Linked DNA regions of Canis lupus familiaris. The protein of the gene in region 1 interacts with the protein of each later gene in a pairwise test. Links are inferred from orthologs where the notes say so. Each region holds a gene or a part of one and is shown in the gene's direction. Other genes may lie near its edges.

Region 1 (4,337 bases):
GAGAGAGAGAGAGAGAGAGAAAGAACGCTAGATTACTCTGGGACGAGCATGCCTCCTGAATTTTGTAGGCATGTATCTGTTCCCTGTCCAGCCTCTGACCTCCTCTCGCTCGTCTTTCCACTGTCCCTTAAACCAGGACCATTGCGTTGCTCCTCTCCTTGGTCTACACCCCTTCCCCTAGAACTTTTCTCCTAAGCCTTTCCCGGCATCCTGTACCTTCACTTCCCCCGCCCTCCTCTCACCTGGCCTCCCTGGTCACGTGAGACCTTTATCTGGGTGCTGACCTGCCCTCGGCCCGAGTCTGTCCCCGCTGCCAGACACACATTCGCCCTGCTAGAATTTACACGCCCTGAGGTCGAGGATGTAAGGAACACTGGTATGGGAGGACTGTTACCTAGTTCTGCTCCTTGGGCCACAGTGAGGTCACTGACTGTAGAGAAGGCCCAAGCTCGGGCCTGCCCAAGTCCCGGGGGTCCTACCCAGGAGGAAGACCCCACTTCTGCGGGACACACTACAGGACGGAAGGGGCGGGCCTAACCCCATTCCGCCGCGGGTCGCTCAGGAGGGCGGGCCTTGCCCCCTCGGCACCTACTCACGAAGGGGTGGAGCTAGTTCGCTTTTCAGGTTTAAAACGGGGCCGGGGTCAACTCTGTCATCCTGTGTCAACGTTAGAAAGGTGTGGGCCTTGAGATCTGTTCTGCAAGTCACCTAAGGAGGAGCGGGCTGCGTCCCGCAGCCGAGGGAGATGGGTTAACACCAGCGCCGCAGGTCGATGCTCGCACCACCCACACGTCGAGCTGATGCCAGTTCTGCTCCCTTCTTCACTGAAAGGGAGGGGCGAGCCCCAGTTCTGCCCTCTACGTCACCGAAGGAGGCCGGAGCCATTTTGAGCCCTGCGACCATAGCATTTGCTACCTCGCCGAGCTCTCGGCCGTCTTTTCCGATCTCGGCCAATCAGGGCTGCAAGAAACTAGCCAATCAGCCCGGAGAGACCGCAGTCGGAGGGCCCGGATGAGGCGGCGCTGATGCCTTTGAACCCCAAAGCCCGCCAATCGTAGAGCAGTCACCACGGCGACAAGAGCGCGGCGAGGGGGTGGGGCCAGAGAAAGCCGAGCACTCTCGGCCTGGCCCGCCCCTTCCCGCCGCCTGCTGCGCGCGCGCACTTTGCCGAACCACCATCTTCCGTCGAGTTCCAGCCAATCCAGAGCTTCGGAGCTCTACGCTCCAAAGTCCAATAGGAATCCGGACGTTCTCGGAAAGGGGAAGTGAAGCAAAGAAAGGGCTCGGAGGAGGCGGGGCCTGTGTGGTCCCGGACCAATTGCTTCTGGCCCTTGGCCCTGACTGGCAGCTACTCAGACGAATCAAGCTCCCCGACCAGGTCCAACGGACACCAATTCTGTCGCATGGCGTCCTGACGGAGACGCGCCCGCCAATCGTCGCTGGCAAGGGCAGGCCTGCGCAGACCTCTCCCTACCCTTTGGGCCAATCCTGGCTTTTAAACTGTGTGATTGTCAGCCACCCAGACCAGTAGTGTTTAGACAACCTCGAAGCCCGCCCAACGGTCGTGGGCTGGAGGCGGTTTCTCGCTGTTGGGGCGTGTGTGTGTCTGTGTGTGTGTTTGGGGAGACCGAGGGGTACGTGAAGGCGAAACACCGGCCATGGCAGCCGCGGAGGAGGAGGACGGGGGCCCCGAAGGGCCAAACCGCGAGCGGGGCGGGGCGGGCGCGACCTTCGAATGTAATATATGCTTGGAGACTGCTCGGGAGGCTGTGGTCAGCGTGTGTGGCCACCTGTACTGGTGAGGGTCCGGCCGGGGCTGAAGAGAAATGGGGCTCGCCCCTTACTGGGGAGGCTGGGGGCGGGATGGCACGCATACGGATAGTCGGCGGGCACATCCCCGTGGGCGAGGCCCGAGGTCTCTGGGAATGTGTGGGTGAGAGGGTCACATCTCCACGGAGGAGAGCCGTGTGGCGGAGAGCCCTAGGAACTGGGCGCTGAGGGGTGTGCTGTGGTTAAGAGGCAGCAGGGCGGGGTGGTGGTGGGGGAACTACATCTGTCCAGGTGAGACCCCAGCCGCCTTACCCCGGAAAGTGACGGTCTTAGTTGTACAGGTGGAGATAGATTAGACTCCAAGGTTAGAGGAGGCACGCCTTAGTCGGGTACGGGAGACCGAGGGAATGTAGGATCGCATGCAGATGAGATCTTGGTAGGGAGTGGTATGACAGACCTGAGGACCAGGGCACTGAGAAATGAAAGGATGGTGGAAATAGGGACTTGATGGAGCCTAGAAGAGAGGAAAAGGAGTAGTGGGGGCAGGTGCTAGTAAAGGGGGTTTGGTTGAGGAGTGATGCGGGCAGGGCTGGGGTTGGGGCTGAAACAGGAGATCTAGAAAGCTCTGGTTGAAGAGACCTGGACACTAAGTTCAGAGGCAGAAAAGGGAGGGGACATGTGTGTTCAAGGAGAGAAGAGCGTTGAACCTCGGAGGATGAATATTACTTTAGACGTTGTAAGATCAGAGAGGTGGGAAGGCCAAATTGGCTGGCATGGAATAGGTTGTCAAAAACATGAAAAGAAACAGCAGGTAATACCTGGGAAGAGGGGTGCGATCGGACTCTGAGGTCAGGTTCGTGTCTGTCTTTACTGTAGCTAGTTTGACCTTCTTTTTTTCCCCCCATCTAGTTGGCCCTGTCTTCATCAGGTGCGTACTCAGAGGAGATGAAGAGGGAAATGGGGAGGTCTGAGGAGTTGAAAAACCCTACTGTGAACTGGAAACCACTTCATTTTCTCCCTCAGTGGTTGGAGACCCGGCCAGAGCGGCAAGAGTGCCCAGTGTGTAAAGCTGGGATCAGCAGAGAAAAGGTTGTCCCTCTTTATGGGCGAGGGAGCCAGAAGCCCCAGGATCCCAGGTGAGAGAGAGGGGGTGGTGCTGAGGGAAGATGGACTGCTTCTGGCCTGGGAGTGGGGCGTGGAGGGGGAGAGGACATTCCTTGCTGCTAGCCCTAGCCAGTCTCTCATTCCTCAGATTGAAAACTCCACCCCGCCCCCAGGGCCAGCGACCAGCTTCAGAGAGCAGAGGGGTGAGTCTTGTCTGATTTGTGTTCCTTCCTTGCCAAAGACCTGCCCAGTTCTCCTCTGACTTTCTCCACCTCCCTAGGGATTCCAGTCATTTGGTGATACCGGGGGCTTTCACTTCTCATTTGGTGTTGGTGCTTTTCCCTTTGGCTTTTTCACCACCGTCTTCAACACCCATGAGCCATTCCGTCGGGGTACAGGTAAGAAGAGCCTTCCCTCAGCTCCAAGCAGGGAGCCCTCTGAGTCCCCTCAGGCCTTTTCCCAACCTAGGAGTGGATGCTTCTCCCACAGCTTTCCTTTCTCCTACAGGTGTGGATCTGGGACAGGGTCACCCGGCCTCCAGCTGGCAGGACTCCCTCTTCCTGTTTCTCGCCATCTTCTTCTTTTTCTGGCTGCTCAGTATTTGAGCTTTGTCTCCTTCCTGCCCACCTCCAGCCAGAGGAGAATCAGTATTGGGGGTCCTTGCTGACCCTTCCTTACTCCTGGCCCCTCCCTCCCAACCCCTCCGTTTCTACTGGCTAAGGCCAACCCTGGCCACTTTGTAGGAGGGTGTGGGGAGGAGGTGTGACATCTGTGCAGAGGATGGGAGAAACTTCTGCCCTGAACTCGCTGCGTAGCATCCTAACTCCCAGCTCTGGGACAGGAGGACAGACGGAAGAGGATGTCTGTTTCTTCCCTCTCCTGATCTTTTGCTTTCCCCCACATTTGTTGATTTGATGTTGAAAGATGGGCAAGGCTCCCACTGACTCTCCCCTACTTTACCCCTGTTGACTTAATTTTTCTCTCCCCAGTGTCTAATATGGGTTCTGATTCTTAAGTCCTTCCTTCCCTTCACTACCTCCTTTATTATAAATTCAATAAACAAGGTGAGATGTACTGATGGGAGCTCTGCCCACCTTTGTCCTTACCCCCTTCCTTCCAGGACAGGAGCATCTCCCCAACTTGAGTAAATATTTGCACGGTGTGGGGAAGTGTGAAGGCTTTCTTCAAGGCTCTGAGGGATTCAGAGGGTGAGGGCGTCTCTCTCTCTCTCTCTCTCTCACAAACACACACACACAAACACACACAGAGGCATCTTTCTCACACACACACACACAGGCGTCTCTCACACACACACGTGTCTCACACACAGTCATCTCATACACGTGTCTCACACAGGTGTCACACACAGGCATCTCTTTCTCAAACACAGGTGTCTCTCACACACAGGTCTCACACACAGTCATCTCTTACACACAGGTGTCTCTCACAGTCATCTCTCACAG
Region 2 (3,567 bases), on another chromosome or scaffold:
GATTCCCTGGGGTCTGTAGGGTAAAGTCTCTATGATATGACCCTTGCCAACTTTTTTCTTCTTCAGAGTCTTTGGAAGCTCCCTTTTTGCCTAAAGCTTACAATTTCCAGGTGATAGTAGGTATTTTACATTGTACATGCTTTTTACCAGATGCTTGCCTTGGATTAGAAAACCCCTTCCGCACCACTGACCTGCTGAACTCAGCTCCTGCCTTAGGGGCCACCTCTTCTGTGAAGCTTTCCTGACACTCCAGCACCCTGCCTCCCCTCAGCACATGTCAGGAGAAGACTGGGCCCCCACTAGGCCCTGTCAGTGCCTCCCCTAACGTGTTACTGTATTGAATTGTTTCTGTGCTCACTCTGAGGCTGGAATCATGTCTTACTCTTTTTTCTTTTTAAATCCTCAGCAAATATCAAGAACTGGACAGGTTATGGGAGCTTAAGTATCTATTGAGTGAAACATTGCATATGCTGGAGTAGTTTTCCGTGAAAGTCTATCACATTCAATGGCTTTGTTTTCTTCAGCCCCTCTTCCTTGCAAAACATTTGATTTAACTGTTCTTCTTAGTCCATCACGGAATTAAACACACTCCCATGAAGAAGTGATGACTTAATATTGATGTTTTACAAACTACTTCTGGTTTTGGCTTGGTAACACAGTAACTGGTCACTGGGAAGTAACATAAATCTATCCCAAGAAATGTTACTTTGTATCAGAGAACCCTATTAAGCAGAATGATGTTTGCAAGTAACATTACACGGGCATGATTTTAACAATCTCTCTTGTTAAAATAAGAAAGTGGAGAAAGGAAAAAGAAGCCCCAGACCGGACATAGTTCTGCTGAGCTCTCAAATGGTGGAGCCTCACTGTGCTGTAGTTATTGCTATCAGACTCTGCCGTGCCTTTATTTAAAGGGAAGGAAGAAGACATTTAATGGGAAGTGACAAGCTTCCTCGAATTCTCCTCCTCAGTGAGCAACTGAGAACCATGCATACTCAATGGATTTGATTTTTATTGGCAAATCCCAAGGTTGGCAGCGTGGCAGTTTAAATTCCTTTTTGTGTTTTTGCTTTCTCTCCTCAGTTGTCTCTCACTTGTGAGTCTGACATCACATGCATACAAATCTAGTCAATTTTACTTATTTATATCTTTGCACACACGTCAGTATTCTCTATGTGATAATTCTTTACCTGTGGCATCAGCTGCTGAGGAAAATTGACTTGGAATGCCTGATCTTAGTTGATTTTACTCAGCAACAGGCACAGGGAGGAGAGAGTGAGAGTGAGAGTGAAGAATGACATGAGCTGTTAGTTTCATGACCCCTGGAGAAAAAAAAAAGTAATATTCATTTAGATGTATTTCAACTGTTAGGCATGCTTGTTGCCATTTTAATTTTGTAGAAATTGGGAAACGCTGTCAGTTAATCTCCCAGGATTTTAGAACCAAGCCTTTTAAACAGGAATATGATATGAAAGTTTTAAATTTGCTGATAGTTGTTGGAGGTCCGCATTGCTGAAATTTGTTGTTAATCTCTTGATGGTCTGTGAGCCATCTATATACACACAGCAAAAGCCCAACTCAGAAGAGCACTTTCAGTCTTGTGGATTAGAACACATGTACATCATTGCAGCTGCTCACCCCCAGATGAAAGGGTGGCTGTGCGGCCTCTTTTTAATAATGTTCCATTGGTCTGCTAGCCTGTGATTTTTTATATTAATTTATTTCCATTTTTCCTTAAAGATTGAATGCTTCATTTGTAAGAAATAGCTAGTCAATACCAGGGCAGACAAGGGGTTCCTGATCCTTAGGCACTCAGATTTTGGTAGCATTGGACATTTTAAACATTGCTTTTCAACTGATGTGACAATTGTGTCTTTATTACTTAATGGCAACATAAACCATTCTGTTTTTAGGAAGATTAACAAGTCAAAGCTATCGAGTTATTTCCTGTTAAGTTTAGTCTGTAGAAGTGCATTTTCCTTAAAACTTGTTGAAGAATGTTTTGGTTCATTAAGGTCTTTTTTAAATGACTAACTTAGCATTTAAAATCTTCTCCCATTAAATGAATAAAATGTTGAAGCTTGGCAAGTATTTTAATTAAAAATTCGGTGCAACTATTTAGAGTCTCAATCATAGACATTTTGCATACAGTTATTCATAATTATATGGTTGACATTCAGGATATTCTTTCCAAAACTAAGAAATATACTAAAATGATTTCTCCTTATTTTTAAGACTGAATTTAAATTTTAACTGAAAATCATTGTTCTCATAGATTGTTTCCTAAGTTTCTCTATGTGCAGAATGAGGCTTACATGTAGATTTCTGTTGCAAGTTTCCCGTTTTGACAGTATGACCTAGTCTCTTTAGAGGGTCAGGGTAAAGGGGAATGTCAGGACACAGCACTGGGTGCTGAAGACAAGCTGGAGGCACTAGGATAATCTGTACAACAGGACGGCTATAGACATCCGAACAAATACTGTGTGTGTGATGACCTTATTGTACGCATTTATGCTTCTAGCTTCTCGCTTTTCTTTAGACAGTTGGTGGCATTTTATAGCATGCTTCATGGTTATGTAGTTCAGAGAGAACATTGCTTAACTGCCAGCTGGTTTGATGTTTTCAAATCTCAGAGATGGTAGTAGTGGAGAAGTAGCATGAACCATCTAGTCCAAACTGCTAAATTGTGAATCATACACTGAAATCGTGCTCTGCCAATTATAATTTGGAATTCTCTTGTAATCATTTATGGTGCTTTCTTCAGTGGTGTTATTTATTTTTCTTTCTTTTGGGAGGTAAGTTTAAAAATATTGGTGACTGATGTTATATAACTTGGAGAGCTTGTAAAACAATCTTTCAAATGCTTATGGGGGTCGTAGTAACTCTTTTCACTTAGGTTTTTGCCATTTTGGCATTGGAGATGACTTAATTTTTTTTCTTTTTCTTTCCACAGCTGTGATTGGGTTATTATACCCTTGCATTGACAGGCATCTAGGAGAGCCACATAAATTTAAAAGAGAGTGGTCCAGTGTGATGCGGTGCGTAGCCGTCTTTGTTGGTATAAATCATGCCAGCGCTGTATCCTTTCCACTGTAATGAAATGCATAATCACAAAGCAGCTCCAACAAGCCAAAGGTTAAACAGTTCCTTGCAACTTCACTATTGTCAAATTGTGATATGTCCCCTTAGTCGTAAAAAGAATGTGTGGCGTATTGTTGAAACATCACAGTAGCAGCTGTGTTGTTACTGGATGGGGTATAACCTTCCATTTAAATCCCCATGTTTCAGTATCACTGAGAAACTTTGCACATTTAAACATTTTACGTGTTTTTCTTAAATTAGGTTGCTTAATTCTGTATAGTTTTGGTAACTCTAAGATTGAAACAAGTACATTTTCAAAGGATTTCTTTCCTCTCTCTTTTTGTTTAAGACTTGCCAATGAGGACATGTGGCTTCAGGTGCCAGCTGTTTTTGGTTTGTTGTTAATTTAAGGAACTTATGATTTTTTCCAAAAAAGACTCATCTATTGGTTTTAATCAATGCCAGCAAAGCACATAAATTTTCTTA
Region 3 (3,567 bases), on another chromosome or scaffold:
GAAAATAGGTTATACCCAGAGCAATAAATATTTTATTAATTTCTGATATAACTGAAGGTGGGGTTTCTTCTTACTAAGATTTTGCTGTATTCAAATGTGAGACAGTTTGTTAGGGCTAAGAGAGATACTGTAAGTGTTGTTTGGGAACTACTGGTTTATATTTGGTGAGCTTTATAAAAACCCATCATACCTACTAAATCAGTATCTGTGAAAGTGGAGCTGTTGCACTTACATTTTTAGCCAGATCTTCAGGTGATTTTATTTTTAAGGTCAGGAATTAATAATTACTACTAAACAATAAAAATGTTAGGTCTTACTGCATTATAAAAATCATGTAAACATTGGTGGACTAATTTTTATATCAAATTAAGTAACTTATGAAGTAACATAAACATTCTTAAATATTAGACTTCTGTTTCTTTGTCCTACTTTGGGCTGTGGTTACAGATTCTGAATCAGGATGTATAAATTCACTCTTCTACCTCATTCAAATGCTGAAGGTAGATATGTTTACGAAACACTGCTATTGGGATACTTAATCATGAGGGTAAAGGAAGGAATAATAGATTTATTATCTTTCAAAATGGTGCTGTGGCAAGATGGAGAAAGGAAAACCTGTTAAGAAGAATTAAGTAGAAGAAAAGGCAGAGAAAAACTTGACTCATTCAACCTTTGTTTTTTGTGTGTGTAGGCACATAGTTATTTGCTGATCAATAAGTAGTAATTTTTACCCATCATAATGGATGAGTGAGTTCAGAGAAGGTGAGATATATATAACAGTTATTTCCTTTTGCACAAAGCACCTCACGTAATAGCATTGTTACAGGTAGAAGTGATGTTCCTGTCATATGCAATTCATATTGTCTCAAAATTAAATACCTTTGTGTTTCTATATGCAGAGAGCAATGAGTACAATTTGAAAAAGCATTCTTACAAATATAGTTGTCTTTATTAGGCTAAATATGCCTGGTAATTTATAAATTTTTAAAGGGAATTTGTGAAAAATAGCTGAAATAAAAAACGGGTAACCTGAGTTTTTTTTCTGTATGTTCCATCCCCTACCTACGTGCTCATTCATACAATGAAACCAGTACTTTGTGAATTGATGAGAATAAACAGCAGGCAGTTGTTTATCCTTGTTTCTGGCACTTATTTTGTTTTTAACTGGTTTTTAAAATAAGTTCTGTGGAGAATATGTTATGTCTTGGTAATACAGAATATTTGAGTGTTAATGGAATTTTATTCTTTCTTAGGTCATGTTTACTGGTGAAAATATTCCCGTTCATCCTCATGTTTATAGCAATGGTCATATCTGTTTATCCATTCTAACAGAAGACTGGTCCCCAGCGCTCTCAGTCCAGTCAGTTTGTCTTAGCATTATTAGCATGCTTTCCAGCTGCAAAGAAAAGGTAGGACTTCTCAGAATTATTCCAGGTAATATCTATTCTTTTAGTTTAGGTAGCGAAACTATTTTAATACTATGTGAAGGAAGGACTTAATGCCTTTTATTATGAAGTTATAGATAATATGTTTAATAATAGATTAGAAATAGGTATTTTGATACTCTTTCACTCCACATGGAAGTAAGACATTGTTTTATATTTCTTAAACAAAATTTCTGCAGATGTTCTTAAGTAATATGAATTTTATTTCTGTAAGCATGCACAGGGCAGAAGTGTACAAGAAATTCTCACTTCTAGATTTCACCACGGAAAGCCCCAAGAGCATGTTTCATAGCTGCTTTCTCCCCTCTGGTGGCCCCCACACTGTCAGCCACTTTTAGGGGGTTTCCCAGCAACTAGAGCTTTCCTATCCATACTGATCATCTAGTGATTAGGTTGAAGGAGGAAGGTTAGATTACCGGTAGAATTTTCAGGACTTTTTCTCTAATTCTCCTTTATTTATTCACAGATTCTATGTCTGTTGGAAAGGTGAAAATACCAGAAAGAAAAATCACATAAGTTAAATATAGGATACCCCTTTAAAGTATCTAAATTCCGTGTGCATTTCTGGCCCTCTTGTTATTTCTGCCTCAGGGTCAGTGTAGCACAGTGTTCATGTGTTTATATATTTTAAAGCCTCTTTTCTTCATGAGGGTTTCCTTTTGTATTGGGTTTAAAGGAGAAACAGCTTTACCTTGCAGATTAGGGATCTGTGGGGTTATTACAGCAGTGTTTTTTCCTTGTGTTCTCCAAATTCAACTATCATTTTTACTAAGTTCATATTTAGAGAACTTTAAGTAGCTCATTTTTAAATGCTAGATTATCTAGACTCTGAAACACGCTTAGCTTGGCAACGTAAGTTTTTTGAAATGTTAGTTCCATAAGAAGTTTCTTGGTGTTAGGTTTAAAAAAAAAAAAAAAAACACAACAGCTTTTTTCGTTCAAAGAAGCATGGGAAATAATGGTTTAAATTGTATCTTCTTTTTAAATTATAGCATTAAGAGCCCTTAATATGGAATTTTATATACCATATAAGAAAGAAAAAACTTCCAGCAGTTAAACTATGACACCATTAGTATAAAACACATGTATCCCCATTCAGGAATATTAAAATGTAAAGAAAAAATGTACATCTTAGATGAATTAGGGTGCACATTATCTAATTGTAGTATGACTTTTTAAGTTTCCTCTTTGCCTGTGGGCTTTTTTTCTAGGTTGCATTTTAAGGCTACACTTGAGCTTTTGTTAACCCCAAGGGCTTTGGAAACAAGTCTTATTCGTTTATTGCTTCCATATTTTCTCCTCCCCCACACTTCCTCTCCCAGCGCACACATAAGTTTAAAATGTTTAGGTGTAGAGTAGTTACAAAGACTTCTGTGTCCTTGTTAATGTTTAATGTCTTTAGGAAGGTGAAGCAGTAAGTCTAGGATTTTAAAAAGGAAAGTTGAGATGAACACCGGTGATGTGTGTACATAGCTCTTGCATGTGCCTTGTAATGATTACCACTTTTTTTTAATATTTAATATAATGATATATAATAATTAAATAAATGTAATGATTTACAATAGTATAAATGTAATAATTTACTATTAAAAACTAGAAAATAAAAAAAAATAAAAACTAGAAAATAAATTCTTCATCTTCTTTATCCTTTTCTAATCCTATTTCCTTCATATTTCAGTTGTCTACTAGTTTTCTTGCATAGTATATGCTTAATTATTCCATTTCAAATATTGGCAAGCTATATTATATAATCTAAATTATACTTAACCAAGATAATAATATGGAAGTAATTCTGGCAGCATTAATTAGTTCTCTGAAATACAATAAAAATTTAGTAAACGTTTATTAGGTACCTATTAGGTGCTGTTTTTACTGAGCCAAGTACTAGGTTACAAAGATGAAGAGCAAACTTGCTTTGGCACTGAGGGGATCTAGCTCCTTAAATAAGCTTTTAAAAGTCTTGTAACTACTCACCAAAAGCTCTTTTAAAGCAGGTGAATTTTATTCTGTGGTTAGTGTGGTTCTATGACTTTCATTTTAAAATTTGACTTGAATACATATTTTAGTTTTTATTGTAAGAGTTTGGGAACTTTGATTTAGTCATAATTCTTTCATTCCAATT
Region 4 (2,988 bases), on another chromosome or scaffold:
ACATAGATTTACAGATGTCTGCTTTCTTTTGTAAATGAAGTGGATCATACTCCATGTGAACTGCTTTGTCCTGAACCTATTTCCATCAGAAGACATGTGTTCTAATCCTGGTTCTGTCCTTGGCTTACTATGACCAGTCAATAAATCCCATTAGGTCTTGGTCTTCTGGCCCATGGTCTAGGGATTACACACCTGGCCTCACATACCTTTATATGAAAAGTCACTTAGAAGTAGGAAGTGCTTAAAAAAAAAGAAGTAGGAAGTGCTCTACCCACAGGAGAAGTGGTATAATTACAATAATTAATTGTAAAGAAGTGGGATAAGTAATTACAGTAATTAACTGATATATATATGTATATATTGATATATATTGATATATATAGAAGTCTGCAAAGTCAAGGGTAGGTTGACTGACTAGGTCCCTCTCTCCCTCTGCCCTACAGCTGGTGGGCGCTGGTCAGTTATGGTATCCTCTTGGTGACCCTGGGAGCCTTCATCTTCGGCCAGACCACAACCAACGCCATCTTTGTGGATCTCTTGGCGTAACAGCTGCCTCCCAGGCAACACATGGCCTTTGCCACTGAACCCAGGAGCCCATCTCTCAGAGCTGTGGGACCACTCTGAGTCCAGCATCATTCCCCTTTCCTGATGGGATGACATCTGGACATCCTTTTCCAGGGACAGTTTTGGAGTGAAATCAGGCCTCTTACCTCTGGACAGCTCAAACCCAGCTCCCCTCCTGCTCTCTGGTCCCAGCAGTGTGAGGATGCAGGGAGGAGGTCTCGTATCACAGAAGAACCTTCCCTGTCTGCCAGCTCTCAGCTTCTCCATGCCTGAAAAACATGGGTGAAGAGGGTCAGAACATCTCAGAAAAGAGAACCTGGCTTGACTTTCCTTTGGAGAAAGAGTGTGGGCAAAGGGCCACCGCCATCCTCCTCAGAGCAGCCTGTCCTGAGCAGGAACCATGCGTATTACTCTGAGACTCAGTGCCTGCTCCAGTTTGTCAGCCGCTTGGCCAACAGTGGCTTCTCTGGGATGGCAGCTTCCAAAGGTAGCACAAAAGTCATACAGATGCACAGAGGTAGATAGAGTCATGCCTCGTCCACCTCAGCCTGGGGCCTCTTTCCCCAAACCTGAGAGTCCAGGCATTCTTGTCGTCTTCTATCCCCAGACATCATCAAGTCTAATGTTTACAAACGGTGCCAGCCCGGCTCTGAAGCAGAGGCCAGGGGCCATACCGTGCCACCACGGTGCTGTGAGTACTCCTCAGTTAGCTTTTCCCTTGGCAGGAAGTCTACTTTGCTCTCTCAGATTCCAGATGTGCCCCGTGCTTCAGAGACACAGGGAGGGTGATAAGTCTGAGAACCTTTCAAACCCATGTAGGCTGGGCTGGTCAGTGTCAAGGTGAGCCTCTCTGATAACTTCTCTTTCAGTGACTGCTTCTCTTCTTTTTTTTTTTTTTTTTTTTCTTTTTTTTTTGACTGCTTCTCTTCTGCTGGCCTTCTGCTCACCTCTCCTTGTCAACCCTAGCAGGATAGCCCACAGAGAAGAACAGCTGAGTTGTCACTGACTGGGCAACATTTTCGTGTAGTCATGACAGTCTGGAAGTTTCCCTTCCAGTCCAGATCTTGTCTGTTCCCTCCCTCTGTCGTTTCTTCACTCCCTACTCCATTTTTCTGGTGCAGGCTTTCCTGCTCACATAAGACTGAGGGTAGGGGGTATGCAAGACCTTCTCTTGCCAGCTTTCTCAGCATCACAGGTCCACCAGGCTTGGCCTCAGCGGTCTGTCAATCACACTGAGGTCACACATGGATTGTGCCCCAGGTGGGGAGAAGAGGGACATTTCTTTCTAGGTCTGCAGTCCCACTTTTCCCTTTTTGGCTGCTCACTTTGACCAATCCCAGGCATTGAATCAGGCTTCCTCCACCTGGAACTCCCAACATATCCTTGGCCCCTTCTGCTCAAAACCTCTGTTCCAGGGGTGAGCAGGACCCCCACCCAGCACCCACCACTCAGGGCTGTGAGATCGCAGAAGCAGAGGCTGGCTGGCTGGCTGGTGGCCAGATAGACTTTTGCTCAGTTCCCAGACTGGATGACCTGCCTTTCCTCAGATCCACCCACAGCCCCTGGGGCCAGACCAGTGCTGCTGTGTTCTCTTAGCCTGTACTCAGCATCAGGCCCTTCCAGTGCCCATCCCTTCCAAGCTTAGGATGGTCCAGTCAGCAGGGCTGAACAGCTTCCTAATGTTGGATTTCAGCCGAGGGATGGAGGATGTGAGGGGAGTCATCACACAAAACAGACCAGTCAGGAAAAGGAGTGGAATCTGGCCACTTGGCCTAACCTCGGGAGCCCCCTGCTCTGCCCTCCCCTCCAGGGTATTTTACTGTTTCTTTTCTACTTGTACGCATTCATACCAGAGAGGGTGGTTAATAAAAAGAGGCTGTGCTGCTGAGCTGTGTGGCCTATGTCTGGTGCTGGGGACAGAATCCAAGCCACTGACAGCAGGAAAATAGGCTGCGGGGGTAGGGGTTGGGGTGGGGACTTTTGGCCTTATCGACTCTGACCCCTGTCTCAGGCATGAGTATTGCTATGTTCCCTTCACCAAGATGGGAGCATACAAGTGGTTCTAGATGCCTCCTCTTTCTTGCACATCCTACCAGCCCTTACCTGCCAACCTGACAGTTTGCCCTGGTCTCCCACAGCCACTGCCTTGTTTCAAGTCCTCCTGTCTTCCCCACACCATAGGCCTTCAGACTGGCCTCCATGCTGCAGGGCTCACTGACTTCACATTCTGCGATGAGCTTCAGACTCCTGCCTGAACAACCACCCTCATCCCTTCAGAGGCATGTGTTAAGCAGGCCCTGGTTGTCCTGGTTGTGAAGCCAGGCACTTTCCAGGGCTGCAAGATACTCAGCTGTATGCAGCTCCATTCTCAAACTGCTGTGTAAGACTGATACTAAGCAAGTGGTCACATAAGTACACACTTAC

What was found.
Region 2: the proteins of RNF5 (region 1) and INSIG2 interact in binary tests that used the Homo sapiens proteins (3 or more experiments, as listed by UniProt). The two-hybrid records come from large-scale screens. The link is inferred for Canis lupus familiaris from reciprocal best matches to the Homo sapiens genes RNF5 and INSIG2.
Region 3: the proteins of RNF5 (region 1) and UBE2W interact in binary tests that used the Homo sapiens proteins (3 or more experiments, as listed by UniProt). The link is inferred for Canis lupus familiaris from reciprocal best matches to the Homo sapiens genes RNF5 and UBE2W.
Region 4: the proteins of RNF5 (region 1) and SLC38A7 interact in binary tests that used the Homo sapiens proteins (3 or more experiments, as listed by UniProt). The two-hybrid records come from large-scale screens. The link is inferred for Canis lupus familiaris from reciprocal best matches to the Homo sapiens genes RNF5 and SLC38A7.

The regions. Positions count from the first base shown.
Region 1 is NC_049233.1:1,702,962-1,707,298, forward strand, and holds RNF5 (E3 ubiquitin-protein ligase RNF5), read left to right. Parts: upstream 1-1,493; 5' UTR 1,494-1,658; coding exon 1,659-1,798; intron 1,799-2,679; coding exon 2,680-2,698; intron 2,699-2,793; coding exon 2,794-2,906; intron 2,907-3,022; coding exon 3,023-3,077; intron 3,078-3,154; coding exon 3,155-3,272; intron 3,273-3,381; coding exon 3,382-3,479; 3' UTR 3,480-3,948; downstream 3,949-4,337. UniProt on the Homo sapiens protein: Membrane-bound E3 ubiquitin-protein ligase that mediates ubiquitination of target proteins. May function together with E2 ubiquitin-conjugating enzymes UBE2D1/UBCH5A and UBE2D2/UBC4.
Region 2 is NC_049240.1:33,228,535-33,232,101, reverse strand, and holds part of INSIG2 (insulin-induced gene 2 protein), read left to right. Parts: intron 1-2,953; coding exon 2,954-3,078; intron 3,079-3,567. UniProt on the Homo sapiens protein: Oxysterol-binding protein that mediates feedback control of cholesterol synthesis by controlling both endoplasmic reticulum to Golgi transport of SCAP and degradation of HMGCR.
Region 3 is NC_049250.1:22,835,114-22,838,680, reverse strand, and holds part of UBE2W (ubiquitin-conjugating enzyme E2 W), read left to right. Parts: intron 1-1,253; coding exon 1,254-1,409; intron 1,410-3,567. UniProt on the Homo sapiens protein: Accepts ubiquitin from the E1 complex and catalyzes its covalent attachment to other proteins.
Region 4 is NC_049223.1:57,279,367-57,282,354, forward strand, and holds the end of SLC38A7 (putative sodium-coupled neutral amino acid transporter 7), read left to right. Parts: intron 1-443; coding exon 444-546; 3' UTR 547-2,452; downstream 2,453-2,988. UniProt on the Homo sapiens protein: Symporter that selectively cotransports sodium ions and amino acids, such as L-glutamine and L-asparagine from the lysosome into the cytoplasm and may participates in mTORC1 activation. The transport activity requires an acidic lysosomal lumen.